Linked DNA regions of Macaca mulatta. The protein of the gene in region 3 interacts with the protein of the main gene of each other region in a biochemical or structural test. Links are inferred from orthologs where the notes say so. Each region holds a gene or a part of one and is shown on either strand. Other genes may lie near its edges.

Region 1 (3,909 bases), on a different chromosome or scaffold from region 3:
GAAGTCCTTTTCAATCTTTAGTGAGCCTATGAATCACCTGCAGATCTTGCTAAAGTGTAGATTCTGATTCAATAAGTCTGGTTGGGAGTCTTCTGTACTTTTTTTGGGGGGTGCGGGGGTGGAGAGAGAGTCTCACTCTGTCGCCCAGGCCAGAGTGCAGTGGTGTGATCTTGGCTCACTGCAACCTCCGCCTCCTGGGTTTAAGCAATTTTCTGCCTCAGCCTCCTGAGTAACTGGGATTACAGGTGCATGCCACCATGCCCAGCTAATTTTTGTATTTTTAATAGAGACAGGGTTTCACAATGTTGGCCAGGCTGATCTTGAACTCCTGACCTCGTGATCCACCCGCCTCGACCTCCCAAAGTGCTGGGATTTCAGGCGTGAGAGTCTTCTGAACTTCTAACAAACTCACAGGTGATGCTTCTGGTCTGGAGACCAAACTTTGAGCAGCCAGGAACTAGTAGAAGGGTCATGGCGCACTAACAGGTCATTTTCAAGGGTGCAGATCTTCTCTTCTGCTTCTGCCTTCTACCTCCTGGGAATGTTAAGAGGACTTCTCAGACTCACTGTCCTCTTTCCATGGGGCCAGGCTGGCCAGAGTTTAGTGAGATCCTGATTTTGGAGTCTAGACTAGGGCAAAGGAAGGACCCCTTAGTATATGTATTAGGGTTCTCAGCAGTGGTGCATGGCTCTGGACATCATTAAAAAAAAGTTACTCGACTTTTCATCTGTTCCTGTTTGTCACTCAAGTCCTCGTAGGAGAGGACGGTTTGCTGCCTTGAGCAGGATTCCAATAGGTTTTCATTCATTCCGCAAATACTGGAGCACCTACTATGTCCCTGTTCTGTGCCAGGCATTGGGTTTCTGGCCTTAATACCATCTAATAGTATCTTCAATTCCTCCTTAAACTTTTGTAGAATGACACACTTATATGAACCTATAGTCATATGGAAGTAAGTGGAGAAATAAATAGAGATGTAATGCCCTTTTAATGAATAAATGTTTATAACAGGGACTGTTTGCTACCTCCCCAACATCCATTTCTTTCTTCTTTTCTGCTGATGGGGACTGAGTTTGGTTCAGTTATTTATTTCTCCACATGTGACTCAATTCGGGAGGGTAGCAGTAGCATGCTGGAACCAGCTTGTTGGCAGTTATTTCTAAATTTTAGAAAGTTTGGCAGTTAAACATAGCCATTCTTTTTTACTTTTTATTATTTTTATTTAAAAAAATATTTAATGGAGACAGGTCTTGCTGTGTTTCCCGAGCTGGTCTTGAATGCCCAGCCTCAAGCAAATCTCCCACCTCATCCTCCCAGTGCTGGGATTACAGGCATGAGCCACTGAGCCTAGCCTTTTTTTTTTTTTTTAAGACAGGGTATTGCTGTGTTGCCCAGGCTGTAGTACAGTGGTTCAATCATAGGTTACTATAAGCCTGAGCTTCTGAGAACATAGCCATTCTTAAAAATAAAATAACAGGCTGGGTGTGGTGGCTCACAGTTGTACTCCCAGTACTTTGGCAGGCTGAGGCGGGTGGATCACCTGAGATCAGGATTTAAGACCAGCCTGACCAACATGGTGAAACCCGTCTCTACTAAAAATACAAAAATTAGCTGGGTGCTGTGGCGGGTGCCTGTAGTCCCAGCTACTCGGGAAGCTGAGGCAGGAGAATTGCTTGAACCTGGGAGGCAGTGAGCCAAGATCGCACCACTGTACCCCAGCCTGGGCGACAGAGCAAGACTTCGTCTCAAAAAAAAAAAAAAAAGTTTAACCTTTAATTTAACAAATTATATTAACAAGGTTACACAAAAGTCTCACTTTCTACTTATTTTAATACCTTTCACTCTTACCTATCTCTTAAGGTAATTCATGTCCATTATATCTACCTGGTGGAAATGGTTGATAATGGTATGCTACTGTGGATCTCTTCCAAACTCTGTGTCTAGTGATGTCACATTGGTAGCTTGAAATCTGCCATGGTGGATGTATTTACACCACAGAAATTGGCACATGCTACAAATTAGGATTTTGATTTTATTATTTTCTTGAGGAGCCATTGAACAATCCTATGCCTAGTTTCAGGGCAAAATCCAATTGATCTAAGTTAAACACAGTACTATGTTTCACATCTCTTAGGCATGTGACCCAGTGCTGGCCAATGAGACAAGAAAGTTGTTTGGCTGGCGAATTTCTTAGAAAGTTTTTCTTGCTTCTAAAAAGGAGACACAGCCGGGTGTGGTGGCTTACACCTGTGATCCCAACACTTTGGGACGCCAAGGTGAGCAGATGGCTTGAGTCCAGGAGTTTGCAACTAACCTGGCAACATGGTGAAACCCTGTCTCTACAAAAAATTAGCCAGGTGTGATGGTACATGCCTGTAGTCTCAGCTATTCGGGAGGCTGAGTGGGGAGAATAAACTGAGCCTGGGAAGTCAAGGCTGCCAATAAGCTGTGATCACACCACTCCACTCCAGCCTGGGAGATAGAGTGAGAACCTGTCTCAAAACAAAACAAAAGAAACAAACAAAAAGGAGACACAGGTTAGAGATGGACTCTGTTTCTGGCCATGTGGTTTTAAGATGGGACGGTTCTAAGATAGCTGGACTTGCAGCCAGTATCTTACAACAATGTCAAGTCAGGATGAACATGTTTGCATTAACATGCCTTTTGTTCTTTATTTTTGTTTTGAATTGTTGGAGCCCAATTCAGAAAAAAATGCCCAACATGTTTATTTATTTTTTTGTATTTTCTCTTCTAGAGGGGACCCTGATAGGTGTGACATCTGGGGAAACACTCCTCTACATTTTGCAGCCTCCAATGGCCATGCCCACTGCGTCTCATTCCTGGTCAACTTTGGTGCCAACATCTTTGCCCTGGATAATGACTTACAGACTCCGCTGGATGCTGCTGCCAGCAGGGAGCAGAATGAATGTGTTGCTCTCCTGGACAAGGCTGCCACTGCGCAGAACATCATGAACCCCAAGAAGGTCACCAGGCTGAAGGAGCAGGCTCAGAAGAATGCCAGGAGGCAGATCAAAGAGTGTGAGAGGCTCCAGGAGAAGCACCAAAATAAGATGGCCCGCACCTACAGCAAGGAGGAGTCTGGGACTGTCTCTTCTTCCAAGGGTACCTTCTCCAGGTCATTCCCTTCAAATGCTTCTGCTCCTGGCACATTCGGGTCACTATCTAAGGGCATTAAAGATACTTTCAAGATCAAGTTCAAAAAGAACAACAATACAGCAGAACAGGTGGGGAAGGAAGGCAGAAGTGGGCAGAGGAACGTGATGGAAGTGTTCAGAGAGGAAGAGGAAGACTCATTCTCAGGGGACTTCAAAGAGAAGCTCCAGTTGTCAGCAGAGGAGGACAGCAGTGTGCGCCATGAATCCATTCTCAATCGTCCAGGTCTAGGAAGTATTGTTTTTAGAAGGAACAGGATATTGAGTCCTGAAGACATCTCAGATAGCAAGAGGGAGTTGGGTTTTAAACTGCCCAGTGAATTGTTTCAAACACAAGGAACATCAGAGACTGATGAGGGTATAGCTGATGAAGAGGAAGAGGAAAACAGCCTCAAAGATGATCTACCATGGGGTGAGGATGAAGTGGAGTGGGAGGAAGATGTGGTCGATGCCACGCCCCTGGAAGTGTTCTTGCTGTCTCAGCACCTGGAAGAATTCCTGCCTATCTTTAAGAGAGAGCAGATTGATCTAGAAGCTCTGCTGCTCTGCTCTGATGAGGACCTTCAGAGCATACAAATGCAGCTGGGTCCCAGGAAGAAAGTTCTGAATGCTATAAACAGGAGGAAGCAGGTGCTACAACAGCCTGGGCAGCTGGTCGACACCAGCCTGTGATGGAGGGTTTTGGCCTGGAGCATTGGGGTGATGCTGTGGTCTGCTGGCAGCACTCCAGGCAGC
Region 2 (4,159 bases), on a different chromosome or scaffold from region 3:
CCCTGACAGGTTTATCCCACAATTCACTGGAAGAAGCAGCTGTGCAAGAACAGCCAAGCCAATCCTGTGAGGGAAGGAGCAGAAGGGAGCCTCCCTCCCAGGGCAGAGCTGGCCGGAAGCTACGGAGACCGGAAAGGCTGGGCTAGGAGCAACCTCAGCTAGGCACACCGCAGAGGGGCCGTCCTCATCAGAGGAAAGCTTGGAAAAAGGTCCAGAGAGATGAGTGACCCAAATACACACGACCAAACCATTACCTGAAAGTGACTGCATTCAAATATTTTAAAAACTGTCCAAACCCACAGAGCAGGTGCTGACTTAGGACGTGGGTCTTCCGTGCATTCAAACATTTTAAAAGCTGTCTAAACCCACAAAGCAGGTGCTGACTTAGGATGTGGGTCTTCCAAAGCAACAAGGGAAGACCGGGAGGCACGGTGAGCCTGACGCTCGGCCACTTTTGCAGCACAGGACGCTGGGCAAGAGACAAACAGGCCACATGAAGCATGGCTACTGGACCCATAATCTAATCACCAGCAGAAAAACAAAAATAAGGGCCAGGTGCGGTGGCTCACGCCTGTAATCCCAACACTTCGGGAGGCCGAGGCGGGGACATCACCTGTCAGGAGTTCGAGAGCAGCCTGGCCAACATGGTGAAATCCGCACAGATCCTGTACCACGGGGGGCAGCGGCAACCAGAGCGAGCTGACACGCCTTAAGCAAAGGTGGGCATTGAGTGCCACAGGATCCACGCACATCTCACCCACCCCAGCAGCCCTGCGGGGGCCCCGTGCACCTGGCTGTGTTGGCCTCAGGCACGTGTACCAGGGGGTGTGTGTGTTAGGGCTCCCCTGGACACTGACAGGAGAGAAACCAAGGCCCAGACACAGGGCTCAGGCTCCGACGCCCCAGCTTCCAGAGAACACCAAGCACCAGGGCAGCCAGGGGCTCGCGGCCACCCAGGTCCTGACTCCCAGGCTTCTCCTTGGGGAGAGCCAGAAACACAAATTAACTCACTGTCCCTTTTTTTTTTTTAAATTGAGGCAGGGTCTTGCTCACTCCAGGCTGGAGTGCACTGGCACAATCACAGCTCACTGCAGCCTCAACCTCCTGGGCTCAAGCCATCCTCCCACCTCAGCCCCCAGTGTAGCTGGGACCACAGCGGCACGCCACCTTGCCCAGCTAGTTTTTTTATTTTTGTAGAGACAGGGTCTTGCTATGTCGTCCAGGCTGGCCTCAAACTCCTATCTTCAAGTGATCCTCCCTCCTCGGCCTCCCAAAGTGCTGGGATTACATGAGCCACCGTGCCAAGTCACCGTGCCAAGCCATCTTTTGAGCCTCCAGGCCCGGCCAGAACTCACCGTGGCTTCCAAGTCAACTTTACAAACACGAGTTTATGCAGCTTCCTCTGCCTCAAGCACATGGTGTGAACAGAGAGCAGATCAAAACAGCAGGGCTGCCCTCAGCTAGCACCTGGGGGTGTGGGGAGAGTTCCCACCATCCCCTAACAAGCAGCAGCTGGCTGTGCCTGAGCGCCGTGAAAGCAGCACCCGCTCAAGCCAAACTGCGTCCTCCTAGGGCCTGGAACCCACGGGTCCCAGCAGAGCCATGTCTAGGACCAGCCCCTGCAGCCTTAGGCTTCTGGCAGACAGCAGCTCCCACCATCCCCACAGCTGCTGGGGAGGGAGGGTGGCCTGCAGTCCCCCAAGGAGGACCCTGGAGCTGTGCCTGGCGCCCTGGACACCCCACATGCTTCCTCCCTCTGCTGACTCCGCTCTGCCTGTCCCCACAATGCACTGTGGCCGAGGAGACCATGAGTCTTCTGGGGAACCAGCCAGTCTGGGGTGCTTTGGGGCCCGACATCCATCCCTTTCTACTGACACTGAAAGTGACTGTTCCTGCTGACTTTCACATATGGCTTTGCTGCCACATCCTCTCTGTCCGTTTCCACTCTGATCCCAACATCACTATCACCAAGATGATGCTGGAGAATCGCTCATCCCCATGGGTCCATGGTTGGCCCCGCTGGCACTCCACACGCAGTGCCACCCGTCAGGACCCTGCAGGAGCCACACTCCTGGGCCCAGTGGGCAGTGCGCTGGGACCAGACAGAGCTGCCTCTGATCTTCCATCAGTCACAACTCAGGCAGGAGACGTCACAGAGGAGGCACCCAGAGGTGTGAGCGAGCTCACGCCCTGCTCTGGGGACGGCCCACTAAGAACAAGTTTCTCTCCACAAAAAGCTGCACAGGGACAAGGCACACAGCTCACACACCCAAACATGCAGCACACACAGAGGCACACAGCTCACACACACAGGCCCTCACACAGCACTCCTACACATGCTTACACATGCACGCAGCTCACACACACAGGCACTTACACACACGAGTACACGTGCATGCAGCTCACAGGCACTCGTGCACATGCGTACACGTGCAGGCGGCTCGCGCACAGGCATACATGTGCACGCGGCTCACAAGGCACTCGCACACATGCGTACACATGTAGGTGGCTCACGTGCTCACAGGCACTTGCGCACATGCGTACACGTGCACGCGGCTCACACGCACTCACAGGCACTCGCGCACATGCGTACAGGTGCACGCGGCTCACACACACACACGACGCCCTTGAGCTGGTGCGACCACCGGGCCAGATGAGCAGTGCAGCATGCTCCCGGGCACCCAGCTCCTCCAGAAGAGCCAGCATGTGGACCCCGCAATGCAGAGGGGCCGCACTCTGGAACATTCTCAGTGCTCTGTGAGCAGAGGCTGCCGGGCCTGTGGGCCGATGTCAGGGGCCACTCCCACACAGACGCGCCCCTGGACAGCCCACCCAGAGGAAGACTTTCTCCCACCACAGGCCGGGACCCACCTGGCCTAAGTCTGAGTAACTAGGGCTTTAACTCAGGGGACTGGCTCAGTGAGGCGCCACCACAGCTGTTTCACCCAGTTCACACCAGAGAGTCCCGGGAACCCAGGAAGGCCCCAGAGTGAGGGGCGTCATCACAGCAAGGGAGGGGCGGGCACAGGCGTCTCCCCAGCAGGGCCTTGCCCCCCAGGCGGTCAATGGAAAGGGATCTGCCCGGCTCTGTGGGGTGCTGGGCTCATTCCGACTCCCTGGGAGAAGCGGGTGATGCTGTCCCACTGCCTCAGGGGCGCCTGTGGGGCCTGATGACCAGCTGTTCCACCGCGGCCAGGGAGCAAGCGCCGGGGCTGCAGCCTGGAACGAGCACACGGCAGGTCCAGGGCTCTGGAGCCTCACACTCACTTAGCGACGGACTGTATGACCTTGGAGGAGGTGTCCTTGAGGTTGGTGAAGAGCCGCTCCGTCCCACCCCGCAGAATGTCCAGGAAGCCGCCGTAGGGCTGGTCGTACTCCGCCAGGGCCAGGCCTGCAGGGAGACACAGTCTCAGCAGCCCACAGGTGCTCCGTCCCACCTCCCCAGGCGCGGGCTGCTGGCTGGGCCCAGGCAGCGAGAGCAGGGAGCGGGTGGTATGGCCAGGCCCCCAACCCACATGTACCCAGCAGCAAGCCAGGCCTCAGCACTGGCAGGTCTGACCCTGTCCTCAGCCTTTCCAGAGACCCAGAAAGTGGCCAATCTGGGTGCGGAAGGGCTATGCGGCCGCCTCAGCACAGCTGGGGCTGGGACTCTGTCTGCGGGGATAGGCCGGCCTCACGGCCACAGCTTCAGGTCACCATAACCCTGGACGTGAAGGCAGAGTGGTGGCCCCTGGCAGCACCGAGCAGACGGGGCACTGCAGAACCCAGCAGCTCGAGGACTCACCCTTCCTCCAGCCAGCAGAGACATAGCCAGCCACCACACCTGCATGTGCAGGACCCACACTGCATGGACCGGGGTGCCCCAGACATGGAGCCGAGCTCCTCCCTAGGAAGCAGAGCTGAAGGACCCAGGCGAAACCTCCCACACCCCAGTGGGGATGGGGGGCAAGGTCGGGAGGGGTCAGGGCCATGCAGAGCTGCATAACCAGCCGCTGCCTGTCAGGGCCACGTCCTCAATGGCCCAGAACCTTCTGGAGTGCTCGCAGCACAAAGTCCCAAGAGCATGCAGCATCTGTCTCCAGGGCCCTCTCCCCTCCTCACCAGCTGAGGGCCCTCCAGGGACACCCAGGCCCATCACAGGTGCCCACTCCTCACGTGG
Region 3 (4,159 bases):
ATGTTCACTTATGGCCAAACATATAGCTCTAATTTGTCTAAATTTGTAGCACTACTTGATACTGATCACCAATATAAACACCTAAAAATTTTTCATAAATTAAATTTTCATAAACTGTATACCATTGTAAGCCAGATATATTCACAATTTCCTTTTCTGTGGTAAAGAAAAGTCACATTACGTATAAAAAAGATTTAAAGTTAATGACAGAAGGTTTGTTTGTTTGTTTGTTTGTTTGTTTTTGAGATAGAGTCTCACTCTGTCACCCAGGCTGGACAGCAGTGCTGCAATCTCGGCTCACTGCAACCTCCGCCTCCCAGGTTCAAGTGATTCTCCTGCCTCAGCCTCCCGAGTAGCTGAGAAGATATTTTTTAACTGTCAAGAAATAATGTATTTTCCTGAAAACACATTCTTCTTCAGAAAAGGTTTTCTTAATTAATTGTGGCTAAGGAAGTAGTCTCATTTAAGAAGTCATTATGCTGCAAACTGCAAAAACATAGCTGGTAAAATTGTCATCAAGATTTGGCTGCAGATGTGCTGAAAGGTAATTTCCTCTTTCTTACTCTTTTTGAAAGCCGTAGTTTAAACTTACTGTGTATATATATGAATATATATAAATGTACCATTTAAAGACAGAACATCAACTTTCAAATTACTACGTACAGAACTAACTTTTCTCAGTTCCCATTTTTTTAGGAACTAGTGGTTTGTATCAGTTCTATTATTAAAGGGCAAAATATCTTCATGGTTTGAATGCAAAAGTACTCATCAAAAATCTACAAGTTAACCAGTTTTATAATTATATGATTATATTATTAAAATAACTCCTGACATGTTACCTTAAATGTTTGCTTTCTAAATCAAACTTCTGAGTTTAAAGCTCTCTATAAATGTAAATCATTGACTCAAGGAAAAATATCTGTATTTCAAAGAATTTCACAAGAGTAGCCTTGGATTGCAAATTCAGTGTATCAAGGGAAGGTTTTTATGTGTATAGATAAATACTCAAGGCAGTTTGTTTTTACATATCTATCATACTTACTGGTGAACACCAAGGACTTCCCAATCATTTCCAACATCCTGGGGTCCCATTAAGCTTTGCATTGTACCCGGGCAGATTTCTATTAATTTGCACAGAAGTGACCAACCCACCTGAAAACAAGAAAGACATATATTCACGTGTTTTAAAGAATGTTAATAGAACATACTGAGTCAAACATGAATCTCTTCAGTCTTAGTGGAATATATGCTTATCTCACTTGTAAATAATTGTTATAAAACAAAATGATACCCTAAAATGCTTACCAAGAAACAAAAGCAAGCCATATCCTTAGGATACACCTTTCTCCAAAAATCAGACCAGAAAGACATACAAAAAATATAACATTTCGGCTGGGCATAGTGGCTCACGCCCGTAATCCCAGCACTTTGAGAGGCGGAGGCGGGTGGATCACGAGGTCAGTAGTTAGAGACCAGCATGGCAGAGGGTGAAATCCCGTCTCTACTAAAAACACAAAAATTAGCCAGGCATGGTGGTAAGGTTACAGGCATCTGTAACCTCAGCTACTCGGGAGGCTGAGGCAGGAGAATCACTTGAACCCAGGAGGCAGAGGTTGCAGTGAGCCGAGATTGCGCCACTGCACTCTACCCTGGAGGACAGAGCAAGACTCCATTTCCAAAAAAAAAAATATATATATATATATATACACACACACACACACATAAATATATATAATTTCTAAATTTTGAAGAACATAGACACGCCTATTGTCTAAGGCAAAATAAAATAAACTACAAAAAATAGTTTTAGAGGTTGTACCAAGATTATTAAGTGCAAGAACGGCTATACTGGATCCTTAGTACGTTTCTTTTCTTGTTTTTTTTTTTTTTTTTTGGTTTTGATTTGTTTTTGAGATAGGGTCTCACTCTGTCACCCAGGCTGGAGTGCAACGGCACAATCACCGATCACTGCAGCCTAGAACTCACGGCATCAGGTGATCCACCCAATTCAGCCTCCCAAGTAGCTGGGACTACAGGTATGTGCCACCACACCCAGCTAATTTTTAAAACATTTTTGTGAAGACAGGTCTCTCTCTATATTGCTCAGGCTGGTCTCAAGCTCCTTGGCTCAAGCCTTCTGACGTGGCCTCTCAAAGTGCTGGGATTACAGGCGTGAGCCTCCGCACCTGGCCCTTAGTAGGTTTTAAGTAATAGCTACCTGACAGAATTTCCTCCACATATTTAAATTTTTAATTATAGGAAAAAATGAAGTGGCTTAAAATGAAGGATTAGGGCAAGTTGAAAATTTTAGTAGCAAAATGTAAGTTATCAGAATGGCTGCTCCCCAATTAATGAAGCTAGAATAATAGAGGCAAGAAACGTGGCATTTTTAGCAATTGACTCTACATCTGATAGGAGAAAAAAAGAAAGGGCTCTATAACATAGACAGGAGGTAGAACTCCTCAATGGCTCCCTCTAGATTTCTCTAGAATGAATTGATAAGGTCTAGAGATACAGACACCCCTAGTAGGCTCTTTCACATTTCGAAATAAAATATGAAATTATGGATGCATTTTAAGTATATCTTCACTCAGTCTGTTTACAAGATGCCAACTTGCCTAAGTTGCTCTTTACCTCTGAAAAAAAAATTGAAAGTCCTGATTTCAAACCACAGATTAAAATTAACCTACTCCTCCTATTGTAGACTCCTCTCTAAATGTAAAGGATCTCCAATTCTATTATACTATAGAACTATACTTGACATGGTCAAAAAAAAAAAAAGAAAGTGCATTTATACACACACACACACACACACACTCACACACCACCCTCTAGAGACTTATGGAAAAGTACCTAAGTGTGATGTGTAATAAATACCAATACAATAGAAATACTGAAAGTAAGATTCAGTGTGAGTTGAAATTACTCAGAGAATATAATATGAAGAGGGAGAGCTTGAGTCAGATTGTATAAGAACTGTTGAGTGGTGAGGAGAGTAGGCTGCTACATAATAAGGAAGCCGCTACAGGAAAGAGGCTATTTTGGGATAAGGCTGGATGCATAAGTAAAGTTGAACATTGCAAGGAGTTGAATGACAAGGTGAGAAATCTATATGCATCCAATAAGGAATAATGGCACAAGTTTCTTACCTGTTTGCAGGAGTAAACAAGGGTTATTTTAGGAAGATAAAAATGATTACTCAAGATCTCTTTACAATATTACTTTTGGATCTTTTCCAGATTAAACAGAAATTGCTTTATTTCGTCATTACTTCCTTTTACATAATTTCAAATTGCTTTCAAAGGCAGCAATTTCTGACAGCTATTTCTACCTATACTACTTAAGTAGGACATCCTCCTCCACGTAAGCTGAACAGACATTGACAATCCAGCTGTCATAGAAACCAACTATTTTTGTGCTTTCATAAAATACATCAAGACTTTTTTCCGAAGTATTTAAGAAAATAACATTCTGAACAGCTTCTGGTGGTGAAAAAAATCACATAGGATGCCAAACTCATCCCTATACCTACAAAGCTGACTCAAGGAAAAAACCTGTTTTGTTCTGGTTGGTGAAGCAACAGCATAAGTAAGTGCTTTGCAAAAAGATTCAGGCAACTGAGCTCTCCAGTACTACATGGAACTTCTGTGATGAAACAGAATCTCTGGCAGCAAAGCAGAGGTAACAATTGATCCATTAATCTATTCAATTAAAAGCTTATCTTTCAAAGAGAGAAATTTCCCATCCTGCACGGTTACAATACAATTAAATTGGTAGTTTTACTTTATTATAATTATTCTAAAAACTCAAGCATGTAATTAAGGCACAACAGGAAAGAGTCTAGGGGTTAAAGAAAAATTTTTAGCCACTTTCATTTATTTTGCTCCCCTTCTTCAAGGTTGAAACCGTGAGAATAAAGAGATGTAAAATTTAGGAGCACAGTGAAACGATGGGCAGGAAAAGAAAAATATAAAGCAGCTTAACTACCAATTTTCTAAAGACTGTCATTTATGTAGAAGCATTAATAAAATATGAAATAAACTTCGAAAATAAAACTGACAGCCCGGAATATCATGTTAAATGGCATCTAGAAACAAACCTTAATCTTTATTTTAAATAGTAATTAACAATTACAATTAAATTAAATGAAGGAGTAATT
Region 4 (4,159 bases), on a different chromosome or scaffold from region 3:
GAAAAATTAAAAAAAACAGTAAATACCTGTCCTGAAGAATTAACTATTTCTTTCTTGAATTTTGAGGGGAAATATATTGCTTTCTGTCAAGATCATAAAGGAATTCACAAATAAGCAAGGTTATCTCCAAAGAGCAAACCAGTAGGTAGCTGAGCAGAACCTGCATGTGATCTCCTACCCCTTAATGAAAAATGGAATCTAATTACTAACAGACATAAGCAATAAAACCCCAGAAATCCAGGCCTTTACTGATACCACTGTCTAGGAGTTAGGTCTAGATGCCTACTCCCTGTCGGATCTCTCACACTAAACAACAGCAATAGTCAGTCAAAAAGCTGGTTTTAATGAGGTGAAGCCTCATAATTCATATCATGGTGAAGTGAAAAACAGAGGTAGAGAAAAGAGATCAAAGTAAGTCTACATGGTACACAAGTAGGCTAGATGAAGTTCCTAAAGCAGTCCAAAGACCAGAATATTTCCAATTATAAGAGATCTATGCAAATCAGTCTATAGGCGATATAGAAAGTTCTGCCAAGATAAACAAAACAAAAAAAGAAAGGAGAAGAGAATCTCTGCATCTGAAAAAGGCTAACCACATTTGAAAATACCATAATTTCAATCCAACCTTGCCCCAGGGCATGTCATCATTGCACACACGTAAACCCCCCTATACAAGATGTGTCAAAGAAGAAAGAGCTCCATGATTGTGATGGCATTTACGTGATCAAAGAAACTTCTTTTTACGTTATTGTTCTCCCTGGACTTTGAATTGAAGGGTCACCTACCTCCCGAAACAGTGCGCCATAAAAGGTGACGGTGAATGGACAGTCCACCGTCCTCATGGAAATATCCAAATCCATCAGTAGCCTTTTCTGTTCCTGGCTATTTACTGTGGCTCGAATCCGCTGAATGCAAATGCATGGAAAATTTATGGTTACTACTCTGAGGATGAGGCAGGCAGGGACCTGAAGGAGTCCCATCATGAAAATAGTACAGTTCATAACACAACTTCTAGCAACAACATTGTGAATATCCACCCTAAGTGATTAGCTATCTGTAACACATGAAAATAAGGAAGGCTGTTACTCATTTGATTTCCTGAACAGTCTTGGTAAGAAACAAATTGATAGTATGTTTTGGAGAGTGACAAAATATTTTGGAATGTATTTCCAAGTTACAAAAACAATCTGGTTTACTGTATTATGTCTGTTCAGTGCAAAGAGGACACAATATTAAGGACTTTGCTGCTTATCTGAGGTCCCAAGAAAATAAAAAGCCAAAAGCGCTTCTTTGGGAACAGGTAAGAGTATTTGGAGGGAAAAGTAACTGTAAGAGAATTGGTACAGCTATAGGAAACGGAAGGAATTAGAGAGAAATAGAGAAACCGTTCATTCTTTATCCCAGTGCTTCTGTGGCAAGAAAAATCTGTCACACTAGCAAATGTAGCCTTACAGAAACATGATTATGTCATTAAATGATAGGAGAGATACAATATCACTAGGCCTTCACGCTTTTTGCCTACTTAGCAAGTCAGCAGAAGAACAGACTGAAAAATCTACAAGATAAAAGTATTCCCATTCTTCAAAAGCAAAGGGATCCAAGTCCCTTTGATTATTCCTAACGATGGCCCAAATCTATTAACTCAACTAGAGATGTTAATTCTTTGTGATCCTCCCAGCATCTACTCAATAATATGAAATGATTTTAAATTTCCTTTCATAGCTCAAAAACTACGTAGATTGACCCTAGATATATTTTACCCTCCTTTTTCCACAAATGGAGACAATTTTCTCTCCCAATTCTGGTTTCTTGATTTTCAGGGGCAACTCTTTAAAAGCAACAAAATATAGAATAAAAGAGATTTATGAGTCATAACAGCCAAATGCAATACGTAAACTTTCGTTGGGATGCTGATTTGAAAATCCAAAAGGACAAAACAAACACACACACTTTGAGATGATCAAGGAAATTTTTACTTGGACTGTGGATTAGATGAAGGAATTATTATTATCATTATTATTATTATTATTTGAGATGGAGTCTCGCTCTGTCATCCAGGCTGGAGTGCAGTGGCATGATCTTGGCTCACCACAACCTCCACCTCCCGGGTTCAAGTGATTCTCCTGCCTGAGCCTCCCAAGTAGCTGGGACTGCAGACACGTGCCACCATGCCCGGCTAATTTTTTGTATTTTTAGTAGATATGGGGTTTCACTATGTTGGCCAGGTTGGTCTCGAACTCCTGACCTCGTAATCCACCTGCTTTGGCCTCCCAAAGTGCTGGGATTACAGGCATGAGCCACCATGCCTGGCCCATTAATTATTTTTAAGTGTGATGATGACATGGTAGTTTTGTAAAAATTTAAAATTGTGAAAGAATGGATGGAGGGTGAGTTAAGAGTTAAAAAACAAAACAAAACAAAAAAAAACCAACAAATAAAAAGTAGATACAACTCACACCAAGGAAGCCTTTTCCAAAATACCTTTTGAGGAAAATATTCTTCCCTCCAAATAATCTTTTATGCTTTACCCTACGGAAGATGGTTTTGCTTCTATTAAAAGGGCTGGTTGACAATTGAGATGGACAAATGTATACACAGCAGATAGAAAACATTTGGGAGAATGTCAACTCTACCTTCACTGCCATGATCTGCCCGCTGGGCACGTGCCGCATCTTCTCCACCACCCCGTACGCACCTCGTCCCAGTTCCATTATAGGCTCTAGGTCATCTGCCTTCACCTCAAAGTTCTGCAAGAGAGAAAAGGAATAATGCAATGGGAAAGAGAAAAATAAACAGAACAGAGAGCACCTTATCTTCTATCTCGTTTCTCTCAATATTCTGAGGATTATTTCTGGGCCAGAAGATTTTCTAGCATGTCAAAGCAGCCTCTGAAAGCAAGAAGCTACAAGAAGGGCCAAGAGATGTCTAGGAGCTCCCACGGGGGTAGCCCACCTGCTTGTCCCAGGCAACACAGAAACACAACTTGGATTCAGCTTGCTTATGTCTCAGTTGAAGCTATTTCACTGCAGTTCTTTAGCCATGACCCTTCATTGTGTCTGTAACCCACTATTGACTGATGGCAACTAGATTATGTCTGAGCTTTGAGAAACACCGTCCCAAGAGAACCATCTACTCTCTTCAAATGCCTTCCATCAAAACCACAGTAGCCTGATTTCAATTCAACATTTTTTCAAAATAGCAAAAACTTTGCATACCACTTCCCTTTAAATGCAAATGTTTTTTGACTCATCCCCTGACAGCATGCTAGGGGAAACAAAGCATACATATAAAATGGCCAACGTATTAGCTGGCAGACGTGATTTTTTCTTACCTGATTTCCAATAGAAATGCAAGCCTTGGAGTCTAAATCTCGAGGTGGTCTAAGAAAGATAAGGGGGAAAAGAATAAACATAAGCTAATGAGTCAATTATATCCTTCCCAAATCACACGCCACTGGGGGTATTTTTCCTTAAAAAGAAAGTGGAAGTTCATGAGTAAACTGAAGCAGCATATGAGTGTGAATAAGAGGAGATTTGAAATAAATTACATTTGGGTTTAAATTACTTAATCTCTTTGGGGCTCCATTTCTTCTTTCACAGGGGGATATTAATATGCCTACATTGTGAAGCAGGAGTGAGTATTAAATGAGATAATACAACTAAAATGCTTAGCAGAATGTTTGGCATACAATAAATATCTAATTCATATGTGTGATTATATAGATCAGGGTGCCTAACTCCCAAGCCACAGACTAATACCAGTCAGCAGGAGATGAGTGGTGGGTGAAGGAGAGAAGCTTCACTTGTACTTGCAGTCACTCCCCATCGCTCACATTACCACCTGAGCTCTGCCTCCTGTCAGATCAGCGGTGGCATTAGATTCTCATAGGAGCACAAACCCTACTGTGAACTGTGTATATGAGGGATATAGGTTGCGTACTCCTTATGAAAATCTAATGCCTGATGATCTGTCACTGTCTCCCATCACCCCCAGATGGCACCATATAGTTGCAGGATAACAAGCTCAAGACCCTCATTGATTCTACATTATGGTGAGTTGTATAATTATTTCATGATGTATTACAATGTAATAATAATAGAAATAAAGTACACAATAAATGTAATGTGCTTGAATCATCCCGAAACCATCCCCCCACCCA
Region 5 (4,159 bases), about 16 Mb from region 3:
GGATCTGCTTTGGAAAAGCGAAAGATCAATTTGAACAAGCAAAGTACAACTCTCAAGCAGTGCTTAGGTTTGGGAGAGAGGTTTTTGCATGCTCTGCCCATGCTAACTCCCCTTTGAATTTCATAGCTCCTTTCTGCTCAGAGTCAGGATGATGAAATGTATTCAGATTTAGACAATTAGAATCTCAAAGTCCCAACTCTTCTCTCTGTTCCCTGCCCCACCAGCAGCTTTCTTAGCCCTCTTAGAAGATAGAGGAGTTGATTCAGTGTATTCTTTCATCAAATATTGATCGCTTGCAGACTTATCCCTTATACCATCCTCTGGAGACTCCTGCATGTCTTTAGAAGGTATACCTTTCTCTGCCTCTAATTTGGAGGGCTACAGCTGTTTGGCCCCTTTGGTGTGGAGGGTAATCTAATCCCTAGGCACCAGCAAGACAGCTGCAGGTTGAGAGTAGGTCAAGCTTACTGACTCTTGATAGGCTTTCAGATTTGGAAAGATGGGAGAAACAAAGTGAAAAAAGTTGTTAATGAAACAAGGAGTTGATAATGAATGTGATCTGTTGGTTGTATTTCTCTCCTTCAACCAAAAATGAGAAAGGATAGATTTTCTGGCAATGGGACCCTGGTTAGATCTTTAGAAATGTCTTATCAGGGAGACCAGTCATATATAAAAGATGTATCAGCATCTACCCTTCTGCCCTTAGGAGGGGTGACTCTTATCCCACACCCCTAGAGTGAATCTCTCATTTTGACAGAGAGCTAAAGAAAAAGGAAAAGAAGGCCAGGCATGGTGGCTCACGCCTGTAATCCCAGCACTTTGGGAGGCCAAGGCGGGCGGATCACCCGAGGTCGGGAGTTCAAGACTAGCCTGACCAACATGGAGAAACCCCATCTTTACTAAAAATACAAAATTAGCCAGGCGTGGTGGTGCGTGCCTGTAATCCCAGCTACTCGGGAGGCTGAGGTGGGAGAATTGCTTGAACCTGTGAGGCAGAGGTTGTGGTAAGCCAAGATCATGCCACTGCGCACCAGCCTGGGCAACAAGAGTGACGTCTCAAAAAAAAAAAAAAAAAAAAGGAAAAGAAGAGCACAGCACCAGGATGCCAAGGAGATACTGGGGATCTAGGGTACCTGTGGGTGGATCTGGATATTCTTCAGGCCAACTAAAGGCTGATCACTTTGTGTGACTCAAACAAAAAACCTTGAAGATATGGTGGGGAATTACTGGGGAATTAAAAACTCTCAGTTTTCAGTCTCTCTATTTCAGTTCCCTTGGCAGTTAGAGATTATGTGGTAGGGCAGACTCCAGAAGCAGTTCTTATTTTGCTGTTGCCAACTCTTACCACTGAGGGTCAGCTGCCTGGGACCTTCTCAGAGGTATAACCTGTCAATAGCAGATGACTGCAAGAGCTAAGTCCTCATAGGAGCAAGGAGATGAAGAGATTCTATCCTCCTCTGAAAAGCGATTGCAGCTTCAATGGATGTATGTCTAATTCACTTTTTTTTTCTTGCAGGAGTGTTGAAGCCTGGAAATCCCCTCCCCTTCCCCCCCCCTTTACAGCATTCCCCTCCCTCCACCCTTTCCCACTCTGATAATCTGGCCATGACTAGCAGAAGCACAGCTAGGCCCAATGGGCAACCCCAGGCCAGCAAAATTTGCCAGTTCAAATTGGTGCTGCTGGGAGAATCTGCAGTGGGAAAGTCAAGCCTGGTGTTACGTTTTGTCAAAGGGCAGTTCCATGAGTACCAGGAGAGCACCATTGGAGGTGAGTGTCTCGGGGTAAGAGGAGATTGAATGTTTGGTAAGGGTTTTGTCTTTTTTTTTTTGATGGAGTCTGTTGCCCAGGCTGCAGTGCAGTGGCACAATCTTGGCTCACTGTAACCTCTGTCTCCCAGGTTCAAGCGATTCTCATGCCTCAGCCTCCCAAGTAACTGGGATTACAGGTGCACACCATGGCGCCTGGCTAATTTTTGTATTTTTAGTGGAGAGAGGGTTTCACTGTGTTGGCCAGGGTGGTCTCAAACTCCTGACCTCAGGTGATCTGCCTGCCTCGGCCTCCCAAAGTGCTGGGATTACAGGCGTGAGCCACCGCGCCTGGCTGGTAAGGCTTTTGAAACGAGATCTAAGACCTGATTATGGAGCTGGCCCTCTTAGTTGCATTCTTTTCCCCAGAAATGGAAACCCTTTATAAAAACAGAAGCCGGGCCCAGTGGCCCACCACTTTGGGAGGCCAAGGTGGGTGGATCACCTGAGGTCAGGAGTTTGAGACCAGCCTGCCCAACATGGCGAAATCCTGTCTCTACTAAAAGTACAAAAAATTAGCCGGGCATGTTTGCGGTTGCCTGTAATCCCAGCTACTTGGGAGGCTGAGGCAGGAGAATCACTTGAACCCGCGAAATGGAGGTTGCAGTGAGCCAAGATTGCGCCACTGTACTCCACCCTGGGCAACAAAAGTGAAACTCTATCTCAAAAAAAAAAAAAAAAATTGCGGTAAAATAGGCTGGGCATGGTGGCTCACACCTATAATCCCAGCATTTAGGAGGCCGAGGCAGGCGGATCACTTGAGGCCAGGAGTTCTAGACCAGCCTGGCCAACATGGTGAAACCCTGTATCTACTAAAAATACAAAAATTAGCTGAGCGTGGTGGCACGTGCCTGTAATTCCAGCTACTCAGGAGGCTGAGGTAGGAGAATTGCTTGAACCCAGGAGGTGGGGGTTGCAATGAGCCAAGATTGCGCCATTGCACTCCAGCCTGGGTGACTAGAGCGAAAATCCGTCTCAAAACAACAACAACAACAACAACAACAAAAATTAGCTGGGCATGGTTGCACATGCCTGTAATTCCAGCTACTTGGGAGGCTGAGGCAGGAGACTCGCTTGAACCCGAGGCGGAGGTTGCAGTGAGCCAAAATTGCGCCCGTGCATTTTACCCTAGGCGAAGGAGCGAGACTGTGTTTCAAAAAAAAAATCTGGTAAAATAGAGGCTGGAACTAATGCAAAATACAAAGGGTTTCTGTCTTTCTCATCTTTGCTACCTTTTCCCTGCTACTACCCCAAAATAGGGTGCTAATTCAATAAAGGATCTTTTATGAGAACCTCCATATTATTCCCTCCCCTTGTTATTTTTATTTATTTATTTATTTGTTTTTGAGATTGAGTCTCCCTCTGTTGCCCAGACTGGAGTGCAGTGGTGCAATCTTGGCTCACTGCAACTTCCGCCTCCCAGGTTCAAGTGATTCTTGTGCCTCAGCCTCCTGAGCAGCGGGGATTATAGGCACGCACCACCACACCCGGCTAACTTTTGTACTTTTAATAGAGACAGGGTTTTGCCATGTTGGCCAGGCTGGTCTCGAGCACCTGACCTCAAGTGATCCACCCGCCTCGGCCTCCCAAAGTGCTGGGATTACAGGCATGAGCCACCATGCCCGGCTGCTTTCCCCTTTTTTTAGTCTTCTTCGAAATGTATTCCTGGACCTGCAGCAGATTAGATGAAAAAGTAACAGCCAAATAATATTAATAATGATGGGACTTGCCACCAAGCTTTAAAATCTTCTAATTAATTATTATTTTTTTTGGATACTGAGTCTCACCCTGTTGCCCAGGCTGGAGTGCAGTGGTGCAGTGGTTGCCCACTGCAACTTCCGCTTCCCCAGTTCAAGCAATTCTGCTGCCTCAGCCTCCCGAGTAGCTGGGATTACAGGTGTCCACTACCATGACTGGTTAACTTTTGTGTTTTTAGTAGAGGCGGGGTTTCACCATCTTGACCAGGCTGGTCTCGAACTCCTGACCTCAAGCCATCCGCCTGCCTTGGCCTCCCAAAGTGCTGGGGTTACAGACGTGAGCCACTGCGCCCAGCCAATCCTGTAATTAATTCTTTTGTTTGTTTTTTGAGACAGAGTTCCGCTCTTGTTGACCAGGCTGGAGTGCAGTAGCGCCATGTTGGCTCACTGCAACCTCCACCTCCCAAGTTCAAGCAATTCTCTGGCCTCAGCCTCCTGAGTAGCTGGGATTCCAGGTGCCCACCACCACGGCTGGCTAATTTTTGTATTTTTAGTAGAGATGTGGTTTCGCCATGTTGGTCAGACTGGTCTCAAACTCCTGACCTCAGGTGATCTACCCGCCTCGGCCTCCCAAAGTGCTGGGATTACAGCCGTGA
Region 6 (4,159 bases), on a different chromosome or scaffold from region 3:
GTACTTCCAACGTGATATATTCTAGTACTCACAGTAAGAGTTGAAGTGCCATGACTTGTGGATATTTTTAAAGCATGTGGACATATAACAAGATAAGGAGTTGAGGCATTAGGGTCAGATATTGATCCTTTGTGGTGGATTTATACTCAAAATATCTGAAAACAAACAGTTTGGTCATTCCTCCCCCCAAATTGTTATGCTATTATTGGCTGGCAAATGTTGCAGAGATCTAGTAGGTTTGGGGTGGGGGTAACACTAAAACTAAAATTTAATCACTCCTGACGAAAGTATTATGAAAGTAAAAAGACATGAGTTAAACTGACAAGAATTATGATTCTGGAAATATGATAGAAATCCAGATGTTCTCTGTAAACAATGCTTTTACTATGGAAGAAAAGCTGCTTAATTTCAGATCACTTAGTGGTATTGGAAATGAGTTGAGATTTTGGTCAAGTAAGATTAGGGGTAAGTTTTTGAGGCAGCTTTTGAAAGTAATTTTGACCTTATGTGAAATCTGTATCTTCTGAACAAATTTTAGTTTTGCTACACTGATGTGTTAATGGCTGAAAGTTTACCTCTGATGCTGAGTATGCTGAATTTTTTTTCCTTTTCTGACTATCCTTTTGTGAAGCTGCATTTTAATTCTTCATGTGAACAGTCTTCCACAGGCAGTTAGATTTCAGGTTTAAAAAACTCATTTACCACAGGTATAATTTTGAGTCTGTTTATTTTGATGGGAAAAATTTTAAATACTCCTTTTTTTCCCCCCTGCAGAACATCCAGTCATGGATAAAAATGAGCTGGTTCAGAAGGCCAAACTGGCCGAGCAGGCTGAGCGATATGATGACATGGCAGCCTGCATGAAGTCTGTAACTGAGCAAGGAGCTGAATTATCCAATGAGGAGAGGAATCTTCTCTCAGTTGCTTATAAAAATGTTGTAGGAGCCCGTAGGTCATCTTGGAGGGTCGTCTCAAGTATTGAACAAAAGACGGAAGGTGCTGAGAAAAAACAGCAGATGGCTCGAGAATACAGAGAGAAAATTGAGACGGAGCTAAGAGATATCTGCAATGATGTACTGGTGAGAATCAATTGAATCTGGCTTCATTATACTGTAAGGTTCCTATGAGTATCAGTTACATTACTCTCAACGTTTTCTTCGGTTTATCTTTTCCTTCTAAACATTGTGTGTTCAGATTTAAAAGTCTTCATGGTGTCATAACTAAAAAGATGTTAAGACAATTATAGATATGTGTATGTAAAGTAATTGTAATAATGATGATGAAACAGTTCAGTTTTAAAAATAACAGACTTTAGTATTATTGAAAAGATAAACTAATAGTATTACTGCTTTACTTATGGTTAGAACATTTGTGGTAGCTCTATAGCTGGTTATCTTAAATGTACATCTATGGATAAAGGAATTTTACATATTTTATGTAAGAGAGATGTAATAGGATACTGATTGTAGAAATAGTACTCTTCTCAGGATTAGCCGCTATAATGTTAATGTAATGAGTCAGCCATGCAGAAAACTCTGGCGTCACGACTATGAAACCTCTTTCCTGCATTGAATTCTTGAAAATAAATTTTGAACACTCGCAACCATGATGAAAGGTTATGAATAACTCAAGCTTGATTTTTCCAGTTTGAATCGAGTATTTTAAGTATTCAGTACCTACTGTGTTGAAGCACTACGCTTAAAATGATTAAACTACATTTTGGTTAATTTTAATCTGTCATACAAAGTAGGGCTTTTTGATCAAGAATAGTTTAAATTTGAGGATAAACTAGTAGAAAATCCAAGCTGGCAGTTTTTGGAATAATATTTAAAGTGATTTTGCTAAATGGTTACACTTAACCAGTATGGCAGGACTCTGATATACAAAGAGGGGCAGCAGCATCGCGATTTTTCTGGACAGGTTACTGAATGTGGGACTCAGTATGGAAATCCAGGTGTGTTACTTACTATATGAACCTTATTTATATGGAAGAAGTACTGTAATGAGCAATAGGATAATGTCTGATGTGGTTGTGGGTTTGGGGTTTTTGTTACAGTTGTGATGATGCTATCATTTCTTTACACTTGTATTTACTAATGGAATAGCATCAATTCCTAAACTGTATTTTTCTCAAATGATACTTGACACTGTCTTTTAAAATAATAGTGATTTTTTAAAACATGCTTATTTGGGTTCACAATCACAAACTCAATGAGACATCTGTCTTGGGGCTTTTTTTTTGTTGTTCTTATTGAAACCTTTACAATGATAGCTGTTATTTGTATCTAAGTTGAAAAAAGGAATATCTTGCTTTTATTGAGGCCAAGTGACAAATACCTATCTTGTGATTTTGCTAAGGTAGTAAGAATATTTAAATTTTGAAAATGTGATTTTTTTTCTATAATAAAAAATGTATTGGGTTTTTTTTTTTTTTTTTCCTTGCTCTCCTTACTAATATCTGTGTAAGTGTAACTCAGTTTTGTTCAGTCTGGTGTTACACTTGATCAAAAAGTTTTTATTTGGGCTTCAAAGGATATGTTACAAGTTAACATTTCCCTTAAGACAAAAGTCAATTTTAGGAATAAAAAGGAATGTGACATTTACCTTTTAATAACACGCTTATTTGCAATACCAGGTAGGTATGTGCATGTTTTCCATATACAAAGTATAAAAGTTCCTGTCATTGTGAGTCTTCTCCTGGGAAAAGACTTGTAGCAGGTTTGTTTTTTTGTGTTTCTTTTGAGACTGAGTTTTGCTCTTGTTGCCCAGGCTTGAGTGCAATGGCATGATCTTAGCTCACTGCAACCTCAGCCTCCCGTGTTCAAGCAATTCTTCTGCCTTGACCTCCCTAGTAGTTGGAATTACAGGGCGTGCGCCACCACGCCCAGCTAATTTTTGTATTTTTAGTAGAGATAGGGTTTCACCTTGTCGGCCAGGCTGGTAACCAGGTCAGGTCTAACTCCCAACCTCAGGTGATCCACTCACCTCAGCCTCCCAAAGTGCTGGGATTACAGGGGTGAGCCACCATGTCTGGCCCAACTTGTAGCAGTTTTGACTATGCTTCCCTTTGGTTTCCTTATCAAGAAAAATTTTTTGCATAGAACCAGTAGATGAGGATGACAAGATAATCTCTTAATAGCTTCTTGTTGTTATGATTATTAAGGAGTTTGATTCTGGTCCCTACTCACATCGTTACCCTCTAGAATAGCACTGGCTTCTTAAAAAGTCTAAATGGTATTTATACTTTGAAAGTTTGGATGAATGAGAGTTTTCTTTACTATACAAGTGGGTTCGAAGAGAATTCTAAACAAGCTTTGGCTTCCAGCCTTAGTCTTTTTAAGAGTAAGACTTAGTGATCTTTGCATACTCAGAACGTGTAGTAGATGCTCAAATATTTGTTAAACAAGCAGAAAGGCTTTTTTTGAGAAAGGATAGAATTAGGTCAGCAGCACTGCAAAATTTCCCTGGCTTTTTCTTTTTCTGCTTGGGAAAATTTGATATTTACAGATAATAGGCTTCTTTTTCCTACCATCTATTTCAAATAGGTCACATCGACTCTGGAAACATTGCATAAAATTCCTTTTCCCCTTTTTAGTGAAATGGAAGAATAAAGTGTAGCAGAACTGGTATTTCTACTAGAGAAAGTTTTTGAATCATTGTTACTTAATGATTATTAAAAATATTTTAAATTATATATTTGAGATCTTACATGGTAAAAAAATCAATTATAATTTTTTATTACTCCAGCCTTTTCTGGGCTTTGAGAGATATATATGTATATACACATATACATATATATATATATACACACACACACTTTAATTTGAGAAAAATAAGCAGGTAATCCCTTTGCAGAATTAATGGTATTGGCTGGTGGCATTAGTGATAACCAGATTTTTTATATTGAGCACCTATTTTATAATAGCTATGAAAATATACTCTTCCTACAAAAAGCAGCTAATCTCCAACGTTCTGAGTTTTTCTGAAGAACTTTTTAGTAACCCATTTTGGTTACATGTATTTATCAATTGTTTAACCATTTAATAAGCAAAGAGCTTGGACCATGTTGCTTATTACAAGAGTTAATAGAGCATTACCGTGGAAAGTGGTCACTGGCATGTTCTTCACAAGGTGGACTTTTCATTATGTAAAAGAACTT
Region 7 (4,954 bases), on a different chromosome or scaffold from region 3:
TTTGGGAGGCCGAGACGGGCAGATCACGAGGTCAGGAGATCGAGACCATCCTGGCTAACACAGTGAAACCCCGTCTCTACTAAAAAATACAAAAAACTAGCCGGGCGAGGTGGCGGGCACCTGTAGTCCCAACTACTTGGGAGGCTGAGGCAGGAGAATGGCGTGAACCCGGGAGGCGGAGCTTGCAGTGAGCTGAGATCCGGCCACTGCACTCCAGCCTGGGCGGCAGAGACTCCGTCTCAAAAAAAAAAAAAAAAAAAAAGAAATTCCTAGAAGACAGAAGGCTACAAATGGAAGGAGGGGAATGAAGGGGTGAGAGGGAGGGATCCTGGGGTCAGGTGCCACCTTCACCTTGCTAGGTAACTTTCACCAAGTCACATCTTCATCTGCAAATGGAAGACAGCCTCTTTAAAGCTCAAAGTAACTCTAAAGAGGGGGGGTCTGGGCTGGGCGCAGTGGCTCATGCTTGTAATGCCAGCACTTTGGGAGGCCAAGGTGGGCGGATCATGAGGTCAGGAGTTCGAGACCAGCCTGGCCAACGTGGTGAAACCCTGTCTCTACTAAAAAAAAAAAAAAAAAAAAAAATACAAAAATTAGCTGGGCATGGTGGTGGGCACTTGTAATCCCAGGTACTCAGGAGGCTGAAACAGGAGAATTGCTGGAACCTGAGAGGCGGAGGTTGTAGCGAGCCGAGATTATGCCACTGCACTCCAGACTGGGTGACAGAGCGAGACTCCATCTCAAAAAAAAAAGAGGGGGGGTTTGTGGGGAAGGTGCTGAGGCCGGGAAACTGGGATCTGAGTGAAGGCAAGCCACAGTCTGCCCACAGTTAACATAATTTCTTTCTTTCTTTCTTTTAAGATAGGGTCTCGCTCTGTTGCCCAGGCTGGAGTGCAGTGGCGCCATCACAGCTCACTGCACCTTGACCTCCTGGGCTCAATCAATCCTCCCATCTCGGCCTCCCAAGTGGCTGGGTCTATACGGGTAAGCCAGTATGCCCGGCTAATTTTATTTTATTTTTTATAGAGATGGGGTTTTGCTATGTTGCCCAGGCTGAATTAACGCCACTTCTTGATCGGCTGGGGCACAAGAGTTACCCTAAAGTTTGGCCTTGGAGTTGGGGAGGGGGAAGAATTCAGAACCATCTGTCTTCAGAGGCTGGATGCTGTCACTGCAGGAGCCATTCATTCATTTGCTTCTTCGAGATGGCCTCTGGTTACGGTGATAACCCCTTATTGTCTAATTCTAATCCTCAACCACCAGGGCACTAGCCCAGGAGACAGCGTCACTCCTGCTCTAAAGACAGCAGGGCTCAGAGAGGGGCAGTGTATGTTCAAGGGCAAACAGCAATTGGAAACCAGACGTAACGATTTCCAGTCAGTTCTCTCTACTTTACATCAGGCATATAACTGTTTTATAAAGCACAGCTATCCTGGGTGCAGTGGCTTATGCTTGTAATCCCAGCACTTCGGGAGGCCAAGGTAGGTGGATCACAAGGTCATGAGTTTGAGACCAGCCTGACCAACATAGTGAAACTCATATTTACTAAAAATACAAAAATTAGCTGGACGTGGTGGCGGGTGCCTATAGTCCCAGCTACTAGAGAGGCTGAGGCAGGAGAATTGCTTGAACCCGAGAGGCGGAGGTTGCAGTGACCCGAGATAGCACCACTGGATTCCAGCCTGGGCAAAACAGCTAGACTCCATCTCAAAAAATAAAATAAAATAAAATAGAATAAAATAAAATAAAATAAAAAAAGCACAGCTCCTGGAGGGGGGCAAGAATGGAATCAGCACATTATCGTGGGGTTCAGGGAGAAAACATGATTCTGTTGAAGTGACACAGTAAAGCAAAGGCCATTCCCTACGTTTTCGTGACTTGGAATAAACTCCTTAGTGACCGTTCCCCCATTTTCCCCATCCCTAGCAGGGCTACAGAGCTCCCAGGCCACTCAGACTGGTGTTACTCCCCGGTCTAACCTTTTCATTGTGGGCCAGGACTGCTTTTGTGGCACTGAGAGAGGTCAGTTCCACTTCTGCAGACGGCACAACTGAGATGCACCAAGCCAATTCTGTTCAACCACAATGTGGGCTGGCCCTACGGGAAAAGCTGTTCTAAAGTGACAACCGGAGTCTTGGGCCCTTTGATAGGGAAGTCAAGGCTGTCTGTGGCAGTGGCTGATTTAGTTGCTCGCTGAGGCTTTTATCTTGCATCTTCTTGCAGATGACAGGTTCCAGGGCAGGCAGTGCTGTCACTTGTCATTACTGTCATCCTGGAGCAGGATGAAATGTGGGCAGGGAAAAGGTCCTGACTCCTCTTATCATTCCTTCTAGAGGAAAATACACTTATGAGGGGAAGAATGGTCAGGGAGAGGGGTTCAACTTCTGAATACTCCAGAGAAAAGAGCAGGAATGGTGTGGGTTACAGTTCCGGCTCCAAGGTGCATTAGCTGAGCTTGTCATCAGCTGGGAGTGTGAGGTGGCATCTCTCTAGGATAGCTAAGCCTCGAGTTTTGGGTTGAGACACAGCCAGGTTCAAATTCCATCAAATCCCATTCTCACCACCTGCAGACTGTGTGGCCTTGGGCAAGTTCCAGGCCCACCCTGAGCCTCAAATTCCTCATCTGTGAGACGGGCTCAAAACAGCACTTAACACCGAGAACTGGAGAGTGTGAAAATGCACGGGAAGCACTTGGCACATAGTAAATGCTCATTAAGGTGAGATGTCACCGTCTTTTTCCCATGGCCAATTCCCCATGACTCAGTTTCCACTTCTGTAAGGCAGGAGCCTCAAAAGAACCGCTTTGAGGGCTGCTGCTAGGACAGATCGAGAGGACGGGCGCGAAGACCCCAGCCCAGGACATAACACTCCCTAACGAGCGGGCTGAGGGTCGGAGCCTCAGTCTCCCCATCTGCAAAATGGGCACCTGGTCTCCCCCACCACGGCCCAGGAACCTCCGAACGGCGGTACAGGCGACTGCTCTTCTCCCCTTAGGCCCCCTCGACCCTCTCAGCGCCCTCGGCCAGTCCAGCCCGGTAGATCCCTCAGCCCCAGCCCCTCAGGGGCGCGCCCAGCCCGGGCCTCTGGCGCCCCCAGCCACTCCCCGGTCCCGCTACCTATGGTGGAGATAAAAGTGGAGTTGAAGGCGTCCTCGGAGAAGCGGAACAGGACACAGGTCTTCCCCACCCCCGAGTCCCCGATCAGCAGCAGCTTGAACAGGTAATCGTAGGTCTTCGCCATATTACACTCTCTCCCCGACGGGAAGTGCGGCCAGCGCCTCTCCACTGGCCACCAGCACCGTCCATCAGCGCCGAGCCCGCCCCTTATTGGCTCCAGGCCCGCTGCGCGTCACCGCGGCCGACGCCCGCCCCTGCGTCCCGCCAGTCGCGGGGAGACCTGGGGAGGGGGCGAATGGAGCGCGGAGCCGGAAGCAGCCCGAGCGCACCTCCCATTGGCCGGCACTAGGGAGAGGACGGGCTCTGATTGACCAGCAGTGAAGAGTCGTGGGGCTTCAAATGGGGACGAGGCGGGGGCGTGGCATTATGTGGCCCCCGCCTTCCACCCCCTACTCGGGCGCCCCGGCCCCGCCCCACTACAGGAGAGGGAAGGCAGGGAGCGTCGCCAACGGCTCGCGCGCCGGCAGCCTGGGGGGCGGGGCTTGGGGTGCGTGCGCACGAGCGCCCGGAGTTCCGTTAGGCGACGGCAGAGGGCGCAATCCTGTACTTGGGGCGGGTATCTCTGGGTCCCGCCGTCACAACTCGCGCAGGCGCAATAGGCCCCGAGGCGAGCGCGGGAAACCATGGTAGCGCTCTCAACCTGATCTGCGGCCTCCGAGTCGGGGCAGCGGGGGCCGACGGAGGAAGGAGAGAGGAGACACTGTATACTCGAAAAGTGACCCGGGCCGGGCGCGGTGGCTGAAATCCCAGAACTTTGGGAGGCCTAGGCGCGTGGATCACGAGGTCAGGAGTTCAAGACCAGCCTGGCCAAGATGGTGAAACCCCATTTCTACTAAAAATACAAAAATTAGCCGGGCGTGGTGGCGGGCGCCTGTAATCCCAGCTACTTGGGAGGCTGAGGCAGAGAATTGCTTGAATCTGGGAGGCGGAGGTTGCAGTGAGCCGAGATCGCGCCTTTGCACTCAAGCCTGGGCGACAGAGCAAGACTCCATCTCAAAAATAAATAAATAAATAAAAGTGACCCAAGACGAGTTCCGAGGTCTGCGGCCTAGCGACCTGCTTACAGATACCCAAGGCCTCCGCCACCTGAGCGGCTTCACCGCCACAAGCTATGCCCCGAAGCGCGCGCCGGCCTCCTCAGGGTCCGCCCTCGGCCGCTTTAGGAGTTGTCCGGGCCAGCCCGGGGGGTTTAGAACAGTGAGGATGCTTTAGAACAGTGAGGATGCTTGTTCCTATCTAGGGGCCAGGACTCTCAACACTGAAAAAACAGGCCGGGGCTGTGGCTGCCACCTGTGATCCCAGTGCTTTGGGAGGCCAGGAGTTTGAGGCTGCAGTAAGCGGTGATCGTCCCACTGCACTCCAGCATGGACGACAGAGCGAGAAGCCTCTCAAAAAAAGAAAAAGGCCGGGCGCGGTGGCTCACGCCTGTAATCTCAGCACTTTGGGAGGCCGAGGCGGTCGGATCACGAGGTCAGGAGATCGAGACCATCCTGGCTAACGCGGTGAAATCCCATCTCTACTAAAAATACAAAAAAGTAGCCGGGTGTAGTGGCGGGTACCTGTAGTCCCAGCTACTCGGAAGGCTGAGGCAGGAGAATGGCGTGAACCCGGGAGGCGGAGCTTTCAGTGAGCCAAGATCGTGCCACTGCACTCCAGCCTGGGCAACAGAACAAAACTCCGTCTCAAAAAAAATAAAAAAGAAAAAGAAAAGAAAAAGAGGAGAGATACATTAGGAAAATCGGGCTTGCAGCTGGGTGTGGTTGCTCAGGCCTGTAATC

What was found.
Region 1: the proteins of LRRK2 (region 3) and ANKS4B interact on a protein array, tested with the Homo sapiens proteins (2 studies listed by BioGRID and IntAct, with this or other methods). The link is inferred for Macaca mulatta from reciprocal best matches to the Homo sapiens genes LRRK2 and ANKS4B.
Region 2: the proteins of LRRK2 (region 3) and GAK interact on a protein array, tested with the Homo sapiens proteins (3 studies listed by BioGRID and IntAct, with this or other methods). The link is inferred for Macaca mulatta from reciprocal best matches to the Homo sapiens genes LRRK2 and GAK.
Region 4: of the proteins of LRRK2 (region 3) and MAP2K6, one has a biochemical effect on the other in vitro, tested with the Homo sapiens proteins (2 studies listed by BioGRID). The link is inferred for Macaca mulatta from reciprocal best matches to the Homo sapiens genes LRRK2 and MAP2K6.
Region 5: of the proteins of LRRK2 (region 3) and RAB5B, one has a biochemical effect on the other in vitro, tested with the Homo sapiens proteins (2 studies listed by IntAct). The link is inferred for Macaca mulatta from reciprocal best matches to the Homo sapiens genes LRRK2 and RAB5B.
Region 6: the proteins of LRRK2 (region 3) and YWHAZ interact on a protein array, tested with the Homo sapiens proteins (3 studies listed by BioGRID and IntAct, with this or other methods). The link is inferred for Macaca mulatta from reciprocal best matches to the Homo sapiens genes LRRK2 and YWHAZ.
Region 7: of the proteins of LRRK2 (region 3) and RAB8A, one has a biochemical effect on the other in vitro, tested with the Homo sapiens proteins (2 studies listed by IntAct). The link is inferred for Macaca mulatta from reciprocal best matches to the Homo sapiens genes LRRK2 and RAB8A.

Annotation. Positions count from the first base shown.
Region 1 is NC_133425.1:21,170,506-21,174,414, forward strand, and holds part of ANKS4B (ankyrin repeat and SAM domain-containing protein 4B), read left to right. Parts: intron 1-2,756; coding exon 2,757-3,846; 3' UTR 3,847-3,909. UniProt on the Homo sapiens protein: As part of the intermicrovillar adhesion complex/IMAC plays a role in epithelial brush border differentiation, controlling microvilli organization and length. Plays a role in assembly of the complex.
Region 2 is NC_133410.1:956,034-960,192, forward strand, and holds part of GAK (cyclin-G-associated kinase), read right to left. Parts: intron 3,392-4,159; coding exon 3,268-3,391; intron 1-3,267. UniProt on the Homo sapiens protein: Associates with cyclin G and CDK5. Seems to act as an auxilin homolog that is involved in the uncoating of clathrin-coated vesicles by Hsc70 in non-neuronal cells. Expression oscillates slightly during the cell cycle, peaking at G1.
Region 3 is NC_133416.1:47,107,894-47,112,052, reverse strand, and holds part of LRRK2 (leucine-rich repeat serine/threonine-protein kinase 2), read right to left. Parts: intron 1,153-4,159; coding exon 1,043-1,152; intron 1-1,042. UniProt on the Homo sapiens protein: Serine/threonine-protein kinase which phosphorylates a broad range of proteins involved in multiple processes such as neuronal plasticity, innate immunity, autophagy, and vesicle trafficking.
Region 4 is NC_133421.1:79,169,322-79,173,480, reverse strand, and holds part of MAP2K6 (dual specificity mitogen-activated protein kinase kinase 6), read right to left. Parts: intron 3,381-4,159; coding exon 3,332-3,380; intron 2,748-3,331; coding exon 2,634-2,747; intron 906-2,633; coding exon 786-905; intron 1-785. UniProt on the Homo sapiens protein: Dual specificity protein kinase which acts as an essential component of the MAP kinase signal transduction pathway.
Region 5 is NC_133416.1:63,132,460-63,136,618, forward strand, and holds part of RAB5B (ras-related protein Rab-5B), read left to right. Parts: intron 1-1,516; 5' UTR 1,517-1,605; coding exon 1,606-1,768; intron 1,769-4,159. UniProt on the Homo sapiens protein: The small GTPases Rab are key regulators of intracellular membrane trafficking, from the formation of transport vesicles to their fusion with membranes.
Region 6 is NC_133413.1:111,304,042-111,308,200, reverse strand, and holds part of YWHAZ (14-3-3 protein zeta/delta), read left to right. Parts: intron 1-774; 5' UTR 775-785; coding exon 786-1,079; intron 1,080-4,159.
Region 7 is NC_133424.1:16,585,142-16,590,095, reverse strand, and holds the start of RAB8A (ras-related protein Rab-8A), read right to left. Parts: upstream 3,254-4,954; 5' UTR 3,241-3,253; coding exon 3,117-3,240; intron 2,767-3,116; exon of another isoform or gene 2,175-2,766; intron 1-2,174. UniProt on the Homo sapiens protein: The small GTPases Rab are key regulators of intracellular membrane trafficking, from the formation of transport vesicles to their fusion with membranes.